2 linked regions of the Notamacropus eugenii genome follow. The protein of the gene in region 1 purifies or fractionates together with the protein of each later gene. This does not show direct contact. Links are inferred from orthologs where the notes say so. Each region holds a gene or a part of one and is shown on either strand. Other genes may lie near its edges.

Evidence for each region. Proteins that work in one complex are often made in the same cells at the same time.
Region 2: the proteins of SLMAP (region 1) and PDCD10 purify together in Homo sapiens (affinity purification with mass spectrometry; 3 studies listed by BioGRID and IntAct, counting the BioPlex papers as one, with this or other methods). This does not show direct contact. The link is inferred for Notamacropus eugenii from reciprocal best matches to the Homo sapiens genes SLMAP and PDCD10.

The regions. Positions count from the first base shown.
Region 1 is NC_092874.1:467,542,410-467,550,110, forward strand, and holds the start of SLMAP (sarcolemmal membrane-associated protein), read right to left. Parts: upstream 3,001-7,701; 5' UTR 2,607-3,000; coding exon 2,409-2,606; intron 1-2,408. UniProt on the Homo sapiens protein: Associates with the striatin-interacting phosphatase and kinase (STRIPAK) core complex, forming the extended (SIKE1:SLMAP)STRIPAK complex.
Region 2 is NC_092877.1:356,728,577-356,736,048, reverse strand, and holds the start of PDCD10 (programmed cell death protein 10), read right to left. Parts: upstream 3,013-7,472; 5' UTR 2,865-3,012; exon of another isoform or gene 2,812-2,864; intron 1-2,811. UniProt on the Homo sapiens protein: Promotes cell proliferation. Modulates apoptotic pathways. Increases mitogen-activated protein kinase activity and STK26 activity. Important for cell migration, and for normal structure and assembly of the Golgi complex.

The DNA.
Region 1 (7,701 bases):
AGTCACTGCTAATTATCTCCAATTTATCCTGTCTAGATCTTATCCATACCAAGTTGTCTCCAGCTTGTTTTTGCCATTAGACTGGGAGCTCCCTGAGAGCAGACACTGTCTTTGGCCTCTCTCTGAGTCATCAATGCTCAGCAAATCACAGGTGCATAGCAAATTCTTTCTGACTGCCCGACTGCTAAAACAAAACTCTGCAAAGCTTAAAAGCCTAATAAACGTGAACTAGAGACCATGGAAACTATGAAGTACAACTGTCTCATTTCATAAATGACCAAACTGAGGTCCAGGTTAGGTAAGTTGAGGGCCTGTCACAAGATCACACAGGTAAAGTAAAAGTAGAAGTTGAATGGTACAGTGCATAGAGAACTAGATCCAGAGTCAGAAAGCCCTGAGTTCAAATACAGTCTCACACCTTCTAGCCGTGTCAACCTGGGTAAGAAATTGCCTCAGTTTCCTCACCTGTAAAATGGAGGTAACAATAGGGCCTACCTCCATGGTTGTGAAAATAACATGACAGAACTATGTATTTATTATTTAAAAGTTTATGGAGCTGGAAGGGACCTTGGAGGCCAGCTAGTCCAATGTCTTAATTTACAGAGCAGGAAAGATGGGCCCAGTGTGTCAGGAGGCAGACTATCAAGTCAGGTCCCTCTGTTCTATTTCATTTGGAACAAAAATCTCCTCTAACAGAAGATGTTCTAGGTCCCAGAGATTTCCTTCCAACTCTTTCTCTCTGCAAAGTCCAGTATTAACCAAAGAAGCTGGACAGTTCCTTAGAGTTTGTTTCAATGAGATGACGCAAAGTCCTCTGAACTTTAGGAACAAGTACCTAATTAAATTTGCTATTTCCCCTTTAAGGGGTTCAGTGTAAAGTAAATGAAATTTAGAACCTGTCCTAAACTGGTGGCTGCTGGAGGGAGGGGGGTAAGGAGTCAGGGAAAAGGGAGAAATAGAGTAACATAAGATTTCTCACAATGGACATTTCTCCCAAGAACATCAGCACTAACTAACATGGTCATTTAGCTGGTCTCTCTATCCGAGGTAACTCACAATTCCAAAGGACTACTAGCTAAAATAGCCTGTACTGCAATGTGGTTCAATCTGATTGGTCATGGATTGATTAATTCAGTCAGTGACTACGCTATTAACAAACCATCTTCTTTTAGGTAGTGAGGAAAGAGAAGATGTTAGGAATGATCCAGTCGTTTCATTTAAAAAGGTAACTGTGGTTGCAGAGCTTTCAAGAACACGCTTTGTACAAATTTTTAACATGTCATCTCAATTCCCCTGCCAAAAACCGCCCACTTCTGTTAAGACTCTTAGTCATATCCAACTAAGCCACTGGGATATTATCTCTGCACAGTCCTAGAAAGGATTCCTTCATGTTACCAATCACTATTTTTCCCCCAAAATTTAAAGTGGTGTTTAAAATGTCTACCCGAGGTGTCTCAGAGTGTAGGAAGTCCATCCACTCATCTGTACGAGGGCAAATCAAACACCTAATGAGAAGTGAAGGGGAAAGAGCTGACTGGCGATGGGAGGTTCTCTACCTGTCCTACCACTGGGTTCCGGGAAGCCTGGTTGGCACACAAGCTGAACACTTGCAGAGAGGACATAAGAGAAGTATCTTCCACAGGTAAGGAAGGCAGTGTACTGGCACCGGACAAGAACATTAAAACGTCTTTCTCTGCTCTCACCCAAGTCCCGGGCACAGATGTCATTTGCTTTGAAAAGCCCACTGCCTCTGCATCACCATAATTTCAGAATCAAGGAATTCCAGAGAATTCCAAAGAACTTTCTTCCAAGTGACTGCAAAGCGTCCTAATGGCTGGTCCTAGATTCTTACATCCTCTTTGGAAAGCTTGAACCCTCTACAGTCAAGTCGGGGAGACTCGGGGTCAACTTTAAGAACCAGGCGGGACGCAGCCAGGAGGCAATCTCGGCCTCGGGTGACCTGTCATTCCTGGGCAGGCTGTGCCCGGGCCAGGGGGCCAGCCTGGGTCAGGAGAAGGTGGGGCCCTGCCCGAGGGCTGTCCAGCCACTCTGCCCCTGCCCAAAGGCTCTCCAGCCCGGCTGCCCCTGCCCGTGCCCCTGCCCAAAGGCTCTCCAGCCCCGCTGCCCCTGCCCGTGCCCCTGCCCAAAGGCTCTCCAGCCCGGCTGCCCCTGCCCGTGCCCCTGCCCAAAGGCTCTCCAGCCCCGCTGCCCCTGCCCGTGCCCCTGCCCAAAGGCTCTCCAGCCCCGCTGCCCCTGCCCGTGCCCCTGCCCAAGGGCTGTCCAGCCCCGCTGCCCAAGGCTGCCCCTGCCCAAGGGCTGTCCAGCCCCGCTGCCCCCTGCCCGCTGACCACTTCCCGCTGCCCACGCCCACGGCCGCCAGCACCCCGCGGCACGGCGCGGCCCCTCACCTTGCCCGTCTTGTGGTCGAACCAGACCAGTGCGTGGTTCCGGGACAGCACCTTGCAGTCGAAGGTGGCGTTGTTCTGGGCCGGCCGGCACCGGGCCACCGAGCGCCCGATCTTGATGGGCTCGTCCAGGTAGACATGGCGCTCCTGGAACGGGTGCGAGTTGGGGCGGCAAGTGAAGATGGCCAGGGCCGAAGGCATTGAGGACAGCTCGGGGAGCCCGCTCCAGCCAGGCCCGGGTCCGAAGAGGAGCTCGTCCTGAGCCACGCTGCCGAGCAGGCCGCGCCACGTGTGTCCTCCCACCCCAGCAGGCGGATCAGAGCGCAGACAGCATCGGCCCCGCACGCGCGTGGGGGTCGCCGCGGGTCACCACCGTGGGAGCGGTCCGGGCATGGCCGGGGGGCGCGTGGGGGGCGCCCCTCACTCCATCCCCCTGGGGCTCAGCACCCAGGGGCTCCAACCACATTGGAGGGGGCTTCCTGCATCCACCCGCGGCCGCTCCGGGAGTCACTCGGGGGGCGCCCGAGGGCACGCGAGCGGGGACCCGGTCTCGCGTGGGCACTGACGGCCCTGCCGCGCGGAGCGGGGTCCCCCCTTCCCGTGGGCCGGCCGAATCGTCCGTGGGCCGCCTCGGTTCCTCGCCCCAGCAGGGATCGCGCTAGCGGGGGCCGCGCATCGCGCGCCGGGGGCGGCCCCGGGCTGGGCTCCCGCGTGTCCGCGGCGGCGCGTGGGGGGTCGGTCGCCGCTCCTCTGGGCTCTCTCGCCGCCTCGAGCGCTGGCCTGCGGGGCCCTCTCCGGCCGCCCGCCCCGGCTCACGCGGCGCCGCCGCCAAACTTTCCGACCTGCGGGCGACAAGAACCGTGACCGGCCGCCGTCAGGCGCCGCCCGCCCTCCCGGCCCGTCAGGCGCCCCCCGCCGCCCCGCCGGCCCTCCCCGCCCCACCCGCGGCCCCGACCCCGGCCCCGGCCCCGGCCCCGGCCGCCATAGTGACTCTGACGGAGACCTACCAGCGGGACGGACGGACGGCCGGCCGCGGGAGCGCGCACCCTGCACTAGCCCGCCCGCCCGGCCCCTCTCCCGCGCCGTACTCCCAGGCCCACGTGACCGACGCCGCGGGGGCCCTATTGGGTGTGGGCAAAAAGAGGCCGGGGCGGGGCGCGGGGCGGGCTGCTCCGGGAGCCGTCCTGGCGGGGGTGGGGCTCTCCGAGAGGCGCGGGCCGCCATGTTGCTTAAGGGCAGCGAAGGCTGGGGAGTGGGGAGTGGCCTACGGGCCGGGGCCTAGCGTGGCGGCGGGCGCCTCGGGCCTCGTCCTCATGAAGAGACGTTGTCTGACAGTGGGGAGGTGAACCTGCGCTCGGGGGACTCGCCGCGATGCTTCTCTGGGACGAGAAGCCTCCCCCCCAGGGGCAAAGCGCATTGGCAGACATCTTAGCTGTGGGCAAGCACCTCTCGCGATGCTTGAGGAAGTCGTGCAAAGCGAAGTCGAAATCCGAGGCGGGGGAGGCGCCAATACCAGTCCCAAAGGACAGATGCTTACTAGCCCCGAAGCTCGGCCCTAGTGACTGAGCATGCGCATTTCGGCCTTATCGTCTCGTTACTCCCCTGCCCTTGACCCCTCCCCCTCCCTCCTTCCCAGCTCTGACGTAAGCCCCTGTGACTGGGCGCGCTGTGGCTTAACACCTTCCCCTCCTCCTCCTGCCGTCCCTCGCCTCCATACCACCTAAGACCGTGAGTTCAAATCCAGCTGCTGCCCTTTAGTAATTTTATGCCCTTCCTCCAATTTATCATATACATTTATGTATAACGAATATAAATATATATGGATAAATATATGGTAAAATGGAACGAGGTCATAAAATGTATACGTGTATATATATTAGATCTATACATTAGATATAAGATATAATAGAAATATACTATTTATATGTCACAATAGATATATAATATGATATATATCTATCTGCACACATATATACAAATTCTATCCATCTACACATATGTAGGAGTACACATGTAGGAATACACATATGTAGGAGTATGGAGTATGTGCCCTCCTACATATGTGTAGATCGGTAAGCTCCCTTAGGGCAACACTTACATTTGCCTCTCTGAGTCTCCCGGACCTAGCACCTGGCCTAGAACACAGTAAGTACTCCATACATGTTATTACTATTGCTCGGGCAGGTCATTTTCCCTCTCTGGGCCTCAGCTACCTCCTCTGAAAGGAGTTAAGTGGACTGGATGAGTTCCAAGGTCCCTTCCAACTGTAAACCAATGGCTATTAGTAGAGAGAGACTTAGAGATTAAGAAAGCCAACCTCCTGTCTGCTCTTCCTTACCCTTGTCCCCATTCCCATTTTACAAACAGGAAAAGAAGGTCCAGAGACTATAGATTTTATAAAATACACTGTAATAAAAACTATAAAAGTTTATTATCATTGAAGTCCCAACAGGTGGACTCCCAGGTGAACTCCATAAGAAGTCTAAAAAATCATAAAGAAAATCACCTCTAAGTGAGAAGGAAAAAGGTTTGGGAGAGAGGCAGGGGCTGGAAAAGGTGAGTTTTCTCCTTCCCTACTATTTTTGTTTCTGTGATCTCAGGATACAAGCTTTGGATCTGGAAGCAGAAGTTGTTGTTCAGTGGTGTCCAACTCTGTAAATCCCCTGTGGGATTTTCTTGGCAAAGATCCTGGAGTACTTCACCATTTCCTTCTCCAGCTCATTTTACAGATGAGAAAGCTGAGGCAAACAGGGTTATGTCGGTTGCCCAGGGTCACACAGCTAGGAAGTGTCTGAGGCTGGACCCAGGAAGATGAGTCTTTCTGACTCCAGGCCAGGTAATCTATTGGCCACTACCACTTAGCTGACCTCATTTTCCTGATGAGGAAACTGAGGCCCCAAAGATGAAAGGACTTACCCAAGGTCATGCAGATGGTAAGAGTTCAAAGAGGGATTTGATGTAATGGAATACTATTGTGCTATAAGAAATGATGAACAGGAAGACTTCAGAGAGGTCTGGAAAGACTTATATGATCTGATGCTGAGTGAAAGGAGCAGAACCAGGAGAACTTTGTACACAGCAACAACCGCAGTGTGTACGGGAAATTTTTCAGGTAGACTTAGTACTTCATTGCAGTGCAAGGACTTAAAAAATTCCCAATGAACTCTTGAAGCAAAATGCCTTCCACATCCAGAGAAAGAACTGTAGAATTGGATCGCAGAAAGAAGCAGATCATTTTCTTTAGTATTATGTTTTGTTTTGTTTTATGGTTTCTCCCATTCATTTGAATTCTTCTATTTAACATGATTAAGGTGAAAATGTATTTAATAGGAATGTATGTGTAGAACCTATATAAGATTAAAGGCAGTGTCAGGGAGGGAGTGAGAAGGGAGGAGAAAAAAATCTAGGACACTGAAAATAAATAAAATAATTTAATTAAAAAAAAAAAAGATGGATTTGAATCCAGGCCCTCTGGGGTATTTCCAATGTAGGCCCCCACAACCTTCTTTTTTGTACTTGTTAACACTCTATTATCTTCCTTCTGGCTAGAAAGGACTTTCCCTTCTAGTAAGACACATCTTCTCATATGGTTGGGTCTTCAAATGCCCAGAAACTGCTGGAAGATGTAGTTCTCAACAGGAGAAGGAAACCAGAGCTACTAGTTACAACCACAGTTGCATTGCCAACACCACATAATTATACATTTAAATACCTTATACTAAGGGGCAGCTGGGTGGTACAGTGGATACAACACCAGAGTCAGGAAGACCTGAGTTCAAATATGGCCTCAGATACTTACTGTGTGACCTTGGGCAAGTCACAACTCTGTGGGTCTCAGTTTCCTCATCTGTAAAGTGAGCTGAAGAAGGAAATGGCTAACATCATTCCAAAATCTTTGACCAAGAAAACCCAAATGGTATCACAAAGAATCAGACCTGACTGAAACAACTTTGTTTGGTTTGAGGTTTTTTGTTTTTGGGGGCTTTTTTTGTTTGTTTTTTTTAATAAAGAGAATAATTGCAAAATTGTTTGGAAGTTGCTTTCTATTCAACAAATCCCTTAAAGCCTCACTTCAATCCTGACTCCCCAAAAGGCTGGACCTGCTGACACAATCCAAGGAGGCCATTTAAGGGATTCCACATTTATATGTATGCACCAAAAAAATGACTTAGAAAAGTCCATAATCTTTTGAAGGTCTTTCACCACACCTTAATCAAACAAACCTCAATAAGCATGACAGGCAGAGAATCTCAGACCTACTGTTTTAGGCAAAGTGATGAAGTAGAAGGAGTTTTGGCCTAGGATTCAGAAGGCCTGGCTGCCATTGTGAGTTCCTCATTACACTAAGAGCTCCTGGAAAACAAGGACTCTTTTTGCCTTTCTCTGTATCCAAAGTACCTAGCACAGTGCCTAGCACATAGTAGGTGCTTAATGAATGCTTGTTGACTTGGCACTTAGCAGTGTCTGCAATCCTGCCCAAGTAAATCCACATCTCTGAGAATCAGTTTCCTTCTCTGTAAAATGGAGATGAGACAATGTATATCTCACAAGGGTTCTGGGTAGAACACCGTGTACATTGTAAGGCACTACATACATTACATCAAGGTCTCTGGACATTCCTTTGCCTAACTGTAGATAAATGCACAATTGTAATTGTCCAAAAACAACTCCACACAATTTGAGAAACAGTGAGAGTTATAAAGTAGCTTTCTTTTCCGTGGCAGGATGTCAGTTTTACCACTTCTTGAACCCAAATCACGGCACTTTCAGTCTTGGAAGAACAGGCATTTGCAACATTCTTATTAAAAAAAAAAAAAACCACCAGTGTGAAAGACCAGCAAATAATTCTAAGGAATTCCAAGGCACAACAAAGAATAGTTCTCTAAATCTGATTAATGATCAAACGCTGAACTTTCTCTCCCTCCACGTATGCATAGGATATAACAAATTGTGTAATTACCATTTGAGGGCAATCTAGCTGGTACAAAATATCATTAAGCCAAAAATGGAGGATTAGCTCAGGATCAGGTAGAAATCCCAATTGAAAGCATTTGCTACTTTTAAAAAGAATACCTCTATTGTCTTTATTAAGACCCAAGCGATCGTAAGCCTTCTTTCCTCATTAAGAGCTTGTTTCAGTCCAGGGTGGTTTGCAGTATGTGGAAATACCCTGTCATTGACCAGGTGTCCTGGGTGGAGTAGCAAGACATTCCATAGCCTATACTCACCTATTTTTGGCCCTCTGGTTTTTCAGGTAATAAAAAGTGCCCCAGGAAGAAACACTGACAAGGAGAAC
Region 2 (7,472 bases), on another chromosome or scaffold:
ACACAGTCTTCCTGACTCCAGGCCCAGTACTATCCACTGAGCCATCTAGCTGCCCATCTCCAGAAATCTAATAATGGAGAGTGTTTCAGCTTTGGGAGTCAACACTGCCTCAGCACCTTCAGTTGCCTCTCTTCTGTTGGAAGGCTAAGCTAAAAACTCCTCTAAATGCCTCCATTTCTAGCGAGCTCAGAATTCCCAACCTTCTCTTCATCTTCCGTCAGCTGCTCTGCTTGGTTCTGAGTTAGCACTGGCCAGACAGTCTGGCGCTGGCTCTCCCCTCCTCCTTTCAGCTTCTTCAGTGTACTCTTTCTCTAGTAGACAGTAAGCTCCTTGAGGTCAGGGACTGGTCTTCTTTTTCTTATCTGAATCCCTAGTGCTTAGTACAGAACCCAGTACATAGTAGGTGATTAATAAATGTCCATTGGCTATTAATAATTATAGTAATGATTATAATAAACAAATGCTGAGGGAAAGTCAGGGTGATGGTCGTATGAAAAATGGAAACCACATCTAGCTAAGTGATCAAGGAAGACTTCATGGAAAAGGTGCCATCAGATGGATCTTGAAGGATTCCTCCGACATAACAAATGCTGATTGTTCTTAAATAATTTGATGACTTTTCTCCCTTTTACGTGTATTATAACTGATATGTAATTCTCTTTTATATTTCATTCTTTTGATTTTGGATCTCTATTCTATCTTGAAGTTGACTTTTATCATAATATCCTTTTTGGATCTTGGTAAATTCCCTCATTATTCCAAACTTCAAGTCATAAAAGGAACCTAGGGAAACCTATTAGACAGTGACCAGCATGTAAAACAGACAGACAGACAGACACACAGACACACACACACACACACACACAGAGTCTGCCAGGGCTTTCTTTGTTATAAAAAATTGAGTAAATATCTTGAGAACAAATTATGTGGAGATGGCTGACTATAACTAGATATGATTTTTGAGGTCAATTTATCTTAACTTGGAACACTTAACATTTTATGAATTTCTGTTAAAAGTTTCTATCATAATACCTAATACCAGACCTATATTAGTGTAGATAACTACATAGAGTCATAGCATGCAATTATCATGGCAGAGGGTGCTAGGTCCCTTTTCATTATTCTCAGCCTAATAGAAACTACAAATTTTACCCCAATCTCCTTCGTTCCTTACTGTGAAATCTTCTCAGGAATGTAAATCCTTAAAAAAAAAAATAGGGGAGGTAGATCATGTGACTTGCAGGACATATTATATGTTATCTACCAATGTAGTTAAACAGCAATATTTTCTCTGAGAGCTGAATTTTGAAATTATTCTTGAAGGTGGCAAAAAGTCAATGTAAATCACTGAGAGGTAACCCATACATTATCAGTTATGTAACCTCCCTATACTGACATACTAAACTTGTTTTCTAAGTCTCTGAAATATCAGTGTATGAGCAAACTGTTCTAGAAGTACCAACTTCAAAGTACTGTACTTCTGTAAAAAGATTTTTTTTTAAACAAAGGGAGACCTGGTGGAAGGAAAAAGCAGCACGTTAAAGTTCTCCTATGTCCTGAAATGACTTTCCTATATTAGACAAGAATAAGTTGTCACTTCTTATCAGTTACCAAAGCCATTCCCAAGATCGCAGGATTTCTGATTGGGACAGGATCTCAGAGGCAATCTAGCGCAAGTAACTCAATTCCCAAATTAGGAAAGTGAAGCCAAGGACACTTAATGGCCTTGCTGGAGGCCACACAGCTAAGATTCTAAACCAGGTCTTCCTGCTCCAATCCAGTGCTCTTTCCATCACCTGACTCCTCCAATACAAGGATAAAAAACCAGAAGTGAGTCAGATCCTCTTCCCTTTCCATGAATCTTGCACAACTTTTTTTCAGATGACAGGCACTCAGATGCACCTTTAAAGTTAAAATACTTGAGCCGATGGATGCTGGCCACAGACTCATCGGGATGCCTGTAGTTCTACAGCCCTCAGGAGGCCAAAAGAGCAGGTGAGGATGAGACATAGGGGTGGAGAAGCCCAACAGCGACTGCAAGGGAGCCTGGAGCCCGGCTGGGTGGGGCACAAACTTGGTACAGAGAAGTTCTGCACCTGGGCAGCGATCGCCGTCCAAGGGGGGCTTCTCCAACTCAGACACTCCCTATTCAACACAGAGATGGGGCGGGGGCGGGGGCACGGAGTCCAGGGGGGGCCAAGGATCCCCCCAAGCGGCCCAGCAGGGCAAATACGAGTTTAATTTTCAATGAGGGGGGGCACAGATGTTCCAGGTGATAGATCTGCCCCCCCCACTCCAGTCAGGGAAGTCAGACGCTACTCCAACAGACAGGGAGAATAAGGAATGGCTGTGGGAAGGGAACAAGCATTTATGAAGCGCCTACTGTGTGCGATCCGACTGGACGCCTGGGCAGCTGGGGCCCCGAGGCTCCCGCCTTGTCCGGCAGGCCTCCGTCCAGGGAGGACGCCGGTGACCCCCGACCTTGGGCCGCGAGCCCCGGCCCTTCCCTCCTCGCCCTACCCCGCAGGGCCCGCTCCGGGCTCCAGCCTCCCCCACCGCCGTCCCTGGCTCCTCCTCCCACACCTGGAGCGGACCCCACCCGAGGCACATCCGCCCCCTCCCGGCCTCGGCGGCCGAGGCCTGCCCCCAGCCATTGCCGCCACTTCCTGGACGGCGGCCCCGGGGAGGGAGGCCGGAGGCCGGGAGGGAGGCCCGCGCTCGGGCGGCCTCGATGAGCCCGCTGGAGGCCGCTCGCGTCTAGTCACCGCCCGACGCCCGCAGGGCCCCGCGGGCTCCCGGGCCCCGGCGCACCTACCCTCGCCCACCGGGGCGCAGCGAGGTCGAGGCCGGCAGGGCAGCCCTACCCTTGGAGGTGGCGGCGCCAGCAGCTCCGAAGCAGACTCCACTTCCCACCTCCGGAGCCTCTTCAACTCCCGGATCAATTCACTCCGGCAACGCCGGAAGGAGCCGAGAGGAACCAGGCGTTGTCCGGAATCCTGCCCAGCCGGAGCCGCGCACGGGCCGATGGGGGCTCGTAGTCTCAGCCTTCGGCCCTGCCCACAGCCGTGAACCCGGATCGGACTACATCACCCAGCGGTCCCTGCGAGCGGCTCCAGGAGATGGGTGGGGACGTCGCGAACCAATCGTCTAGGCCCTCTCGCTCCCCTGGGCGGGGCTGAGAGGAAGGGAGGGTGGGCTGGGGATCCGAGAGAAGGGGAGGAGTCTTGGCTCACCTGGCCCAATCAGGGAGGGTGGTCGGCTCGGGCTTCGGCTCGGGCGGGGGTGAGGAGGCGGAGGTAGAGGAGGAGGCTGGTGCACGCCTAGGGTAGCCCCTGGGGTGGCTCTGGGCTCTGAGGGAGGCGCGTGCTAGGAGGGACCCCCGGGGTTAGCGTGGGGTGGAGGGCACGGGAGCTCTGAGCGACTCGCTCTAACAGGAGCAGTGGCAGCAGCTTCTCGGGCTCAACCAGACGGGGCCGCGGGCAGTTGTCATCGCCCAACTCCTGTACCCTTCCCGGGAGGGGCAGGGGCGGCTGAGCTGGGGGAGGTGGAGGGTCCAGTGGAGATAGGAGCATCTCCTCCTTCCCTCCCCGATCCAGAGGCACATGCAGGTGCAGCAGGTGTGGGAGCAACCGGCGGGGCGGACGGTGAAACAATAGAAGTCGGAGGTGGGAAGACACAGGGAAAGTTGGGGGTGGGGTGGAGCGGTAAGATAGCGAGGGGGGAGCAGAAGCTAAAGCCTCCAGCCCAGGAAAGGTAAGGGAAGCCGGAGGGTGGAAGAGCATCCGCAGCTGGAGTAACCACGAGAGCAGCAGGAGGAGGAGGAGGAGGAGGAGGAGGGGGAGGGAGGAGCGACGGCGGCAGCTTCGTTTGCCACCCGGAGGGGCGGAGTTTCCGCAGCAGTAAGAGCTGAAGGCAGTGCTGAAACAGTAGCATTGCTGTGAAACAGTAGCAGCGCTGGCCAGAGCCGGAGCACGAGCGGGAGCCCCAGCTGGAGCCGGAGCTGTCCGTCTGGGACTTGTCTTCGCTGGAGACCGTCTAGCAGCATCTCTTGAGGAGGGCTTGGCAGTGTTTGAAGGCCAGGTAAGCCCGCTGCGCTGCTTTGACGAGTATTCTCAATCCAAGATGACTTTGTTGCCTACCAGGAAAATTCCTCCGGTTACTATTTGTAGCAGATTTTAAAGTATCAGGGTTTGTGGTTTTCTTTTTTTTTCCTACGTAGGTTGCAAACTCTTTTCAATGAAACATAAATGTTGCATTTGAAAAAGGAGGTGAGGAAGAAAGGTGATTCACTTGAAACGCCTTTAGAGCATGATTCGTTTATCTGAGGAATTTTGTGACATTCGAATCCTTTTTTTCTCTCGGAGGAACCCTCCCCTTCCCCCGCCCCGGTGCCTGAAATTGACTAATTTCGAATCCTGTGAATTTCATCTGTATCGGAGTACAGGCGTTTTGCTTTAGATTTAGAATTATGTAACTCCTTTATTATGAAAACAAGTTTTAAACCCAGAACAAGGACCCCTCTCCCTTTCCTTGCTTCATCAGCTCTTCCTTGTATTTCCCTTTTCTGCCACAGAGAAGGATGTCTATGATTTGCTTCAGAAACATTAAGCAAAAGGAGGCTTGCATGAATAATCCAAAGGATGGATGATGGAGCCTATCAGGGGAATAACTTTGGTCAACAAAGACCCTATCAAAAAGCTGTCGAGGCTGAACGGAGGATGAGCTTCCTCTTGCCTGGTTCTTAAATGGGAGTAAAAACCTTGCTTAATATCCTTCCATCCAACATACGGTGCTCTCCGTTCTTTGCCTTTCCCAGGTGCACCTCACCTCCGTATAGATATTGGATGAGTCAGGTGAATGTTTGTACATCTCAGATTTGCTTCATTGTAAAAGCAGGAATTACAAGTTTTGTGGTCTATTTAGGGGTCGATGTGGTGAGACAAGGACCTATGGCGATACAAAAGTCATAGTCACCTGAGACAGTTGCTATTCATTATGTTAAAACTTTTAAGCAATGTTCTGACTTTACTTTGAATGCAATTGAATAATTTAAGATGCTGTTTTCATGCTAGGTAGAGATGAAAGGTACTATAAACCTGGGTGAGTTTTTGTGACCCTAAGACAACAGTCAAATCTTTTTCACAGAAGTGCAGACCATTTGCCTGCTTTGTGAGGTTTTTAAAAGCAAAAAAAGTCATGGATTACGTATTTTTTATTAAAATAGTATATTGTAGCATCCCTTTGTGCTAGAACATGTTTGTCATGATGGCATCTTATGGTACCCAGATGATTTTCAGAATAGGGTAGCAATGGTAATTGACTCATGTTGAAATGTAATCTTTAGTAATCATTTACTACAATTTTATTTTCCGTTCTCACACTTTGCTGGTTTCCAGCTGACTTTCTGCTCGATTTTTCCTGGCTTCCTTGGGCTCTTGTTTTTTATTTCTATTTTTCTAAATGCCAGGTCATAATATTAAATGGTCTCGAAGTCATTCCTTTGGTAGTGGGAAGTTCATTGCTAATGAGTGTTTGACAACCCACGTGAATCAAGGATGAACATGGAGCTCTTATCTGTGTACAACACCAAAAAAAAAAAAAAAAGGGTTAGAAAAATCTGTGTTCACATTGTCCCTGAGACAATCAGGTAAGTGCCAGACGTGACCAGCTTTTTTATGAACAAGAAACAGTGGCAGTTGACCCATACTGCTGCTACACTCAGTCAGAATGCTGCACCATGTGAGGCATTCTTCTGTCTACGTTCTGAGTGTGACTTTCTTCCTAGGAAAATACTTTTTTTTTCTTTTGCTGTGGAGAGAGACAGAATTTGGGACAAGGGTGGAGTGAGGCTTAAAAACTGGTGTTATTTGTGGGAAACTCTCCTGCCCACAGCAACATGAAAACTGATTTATAGAGAAAATTCTTTTTTTGGATCCCTTTGGGAGTTAGGTTTTCCTTTTCAAAACTTCAGATTTTCTCAGAATTTCTATGCTTTATCTAGTTCTTCAGTATGTGGAATTATATTTTCTGAGTTAGTGTCTTGGGCTCTGTGTCTGGCTGTGACCCTGATTCTTTTACTTCATGTTGACTGGTGTTATTTTCCCCCTGTATCTCTCTGTCCAAGCGGAAGAAATGGTCTGGGAAGTCTTACTTGGTAAAAGATTCTGGCTTAATGCATGCCTTTTTCTTTGTACTTGTATCTTCAGCACCTGGCCCAGTGCCTGGCACATAGTAGAGGCGTAATTACTTGTTGATTTATTGGTTGGAAATTTTGACTTGGGATCATTGGACAAAATCAGAGTATTTTGTGACCCAGGCACATTGATACATCCTTCCAGTCTACCTCCTTTGAGCTAACACACAGCCAGAATTGCACACAGAAATAAATGAAATACAGAACCTTATGATGTCCATAGAAATTAGGGTTGAATGACTGAATCTGATTGCCAAGGTGCTACATTCAAGGTTCCCTGGACCTGACTCCTATTAAATTGATGTTGAAATTAAGTCTCTGATCATCAAAAGATTCCACATGTATACATTATTGATTATATATGGTGAAGAATTGGGGAGGGGCAAGTTTGATTATATTATGCAAATCACTATCTGGGGTAAAATCAAACCTATTTTCTCTTGACTTCAGTGCCATAGAATGAACTTATCTGTGGCTAACTAAGAAATAAAAATAAACATTTGCCAAATGAGTTTTTTAGAAATTGCCTTTAGAGTTGCCATTTCTATAGCTAGAAAATATGGTTAATCCGCATTTCCTTTTTTTTTTTTTTTTTTACCTTTTTGCCATTTGAAATTCTGAATACCAACCTTACTGAGCAAAAATAAATACATAGGCTGGATTTATCTTTCCAACAGGAAAGTTGTCTGATCCGTTCATCACAAAAGATTGAGATTAAACTGGGCAAGAGCTTATTCCTCCCTTACCCCTTATGTGGTAGGTTTGAAGAGAAGGGTCTCCACCCACTCCTCGCAAGGTGGAAAGGAGTCCTGACACCTTTTTTTTTAGTTATTGTTACTGTACCTCACAAATGATTTTTGTGTCCTTTCTTTATAATCGTTATTTTCTTGAGGGCTCCTTCCCTGGGGGAGGTACTTTCCAAAAATGACATTTTCAGGGGAAGATTGCTGACATGAAATCATTAGCCTTTGCCCAGGCACAGGTTGTTGAAGCAGGAAAGAAAAGGTTACATGTGTATGTACCCATTAAGACAGTAGAACTTGCTGTTACCTGAGCCTTGATGGGATATAGAAGGAACAAAAAAAATTATAAATTTTATTTTTCTACATGAATGGGTGCTCTGGATAAGATGTGTAGTGGGGAAAGGAAACAATGATGGTAGTTATTGATTCACAGGGTCACTCAGTTGGCTTAATATTTAACTTGATTGGGAAGCCTTGCAGTGGGAATCAGATGGGAATTATTGAAAACTTTCCATCTCAAAGGTAAGCAGGTGGTG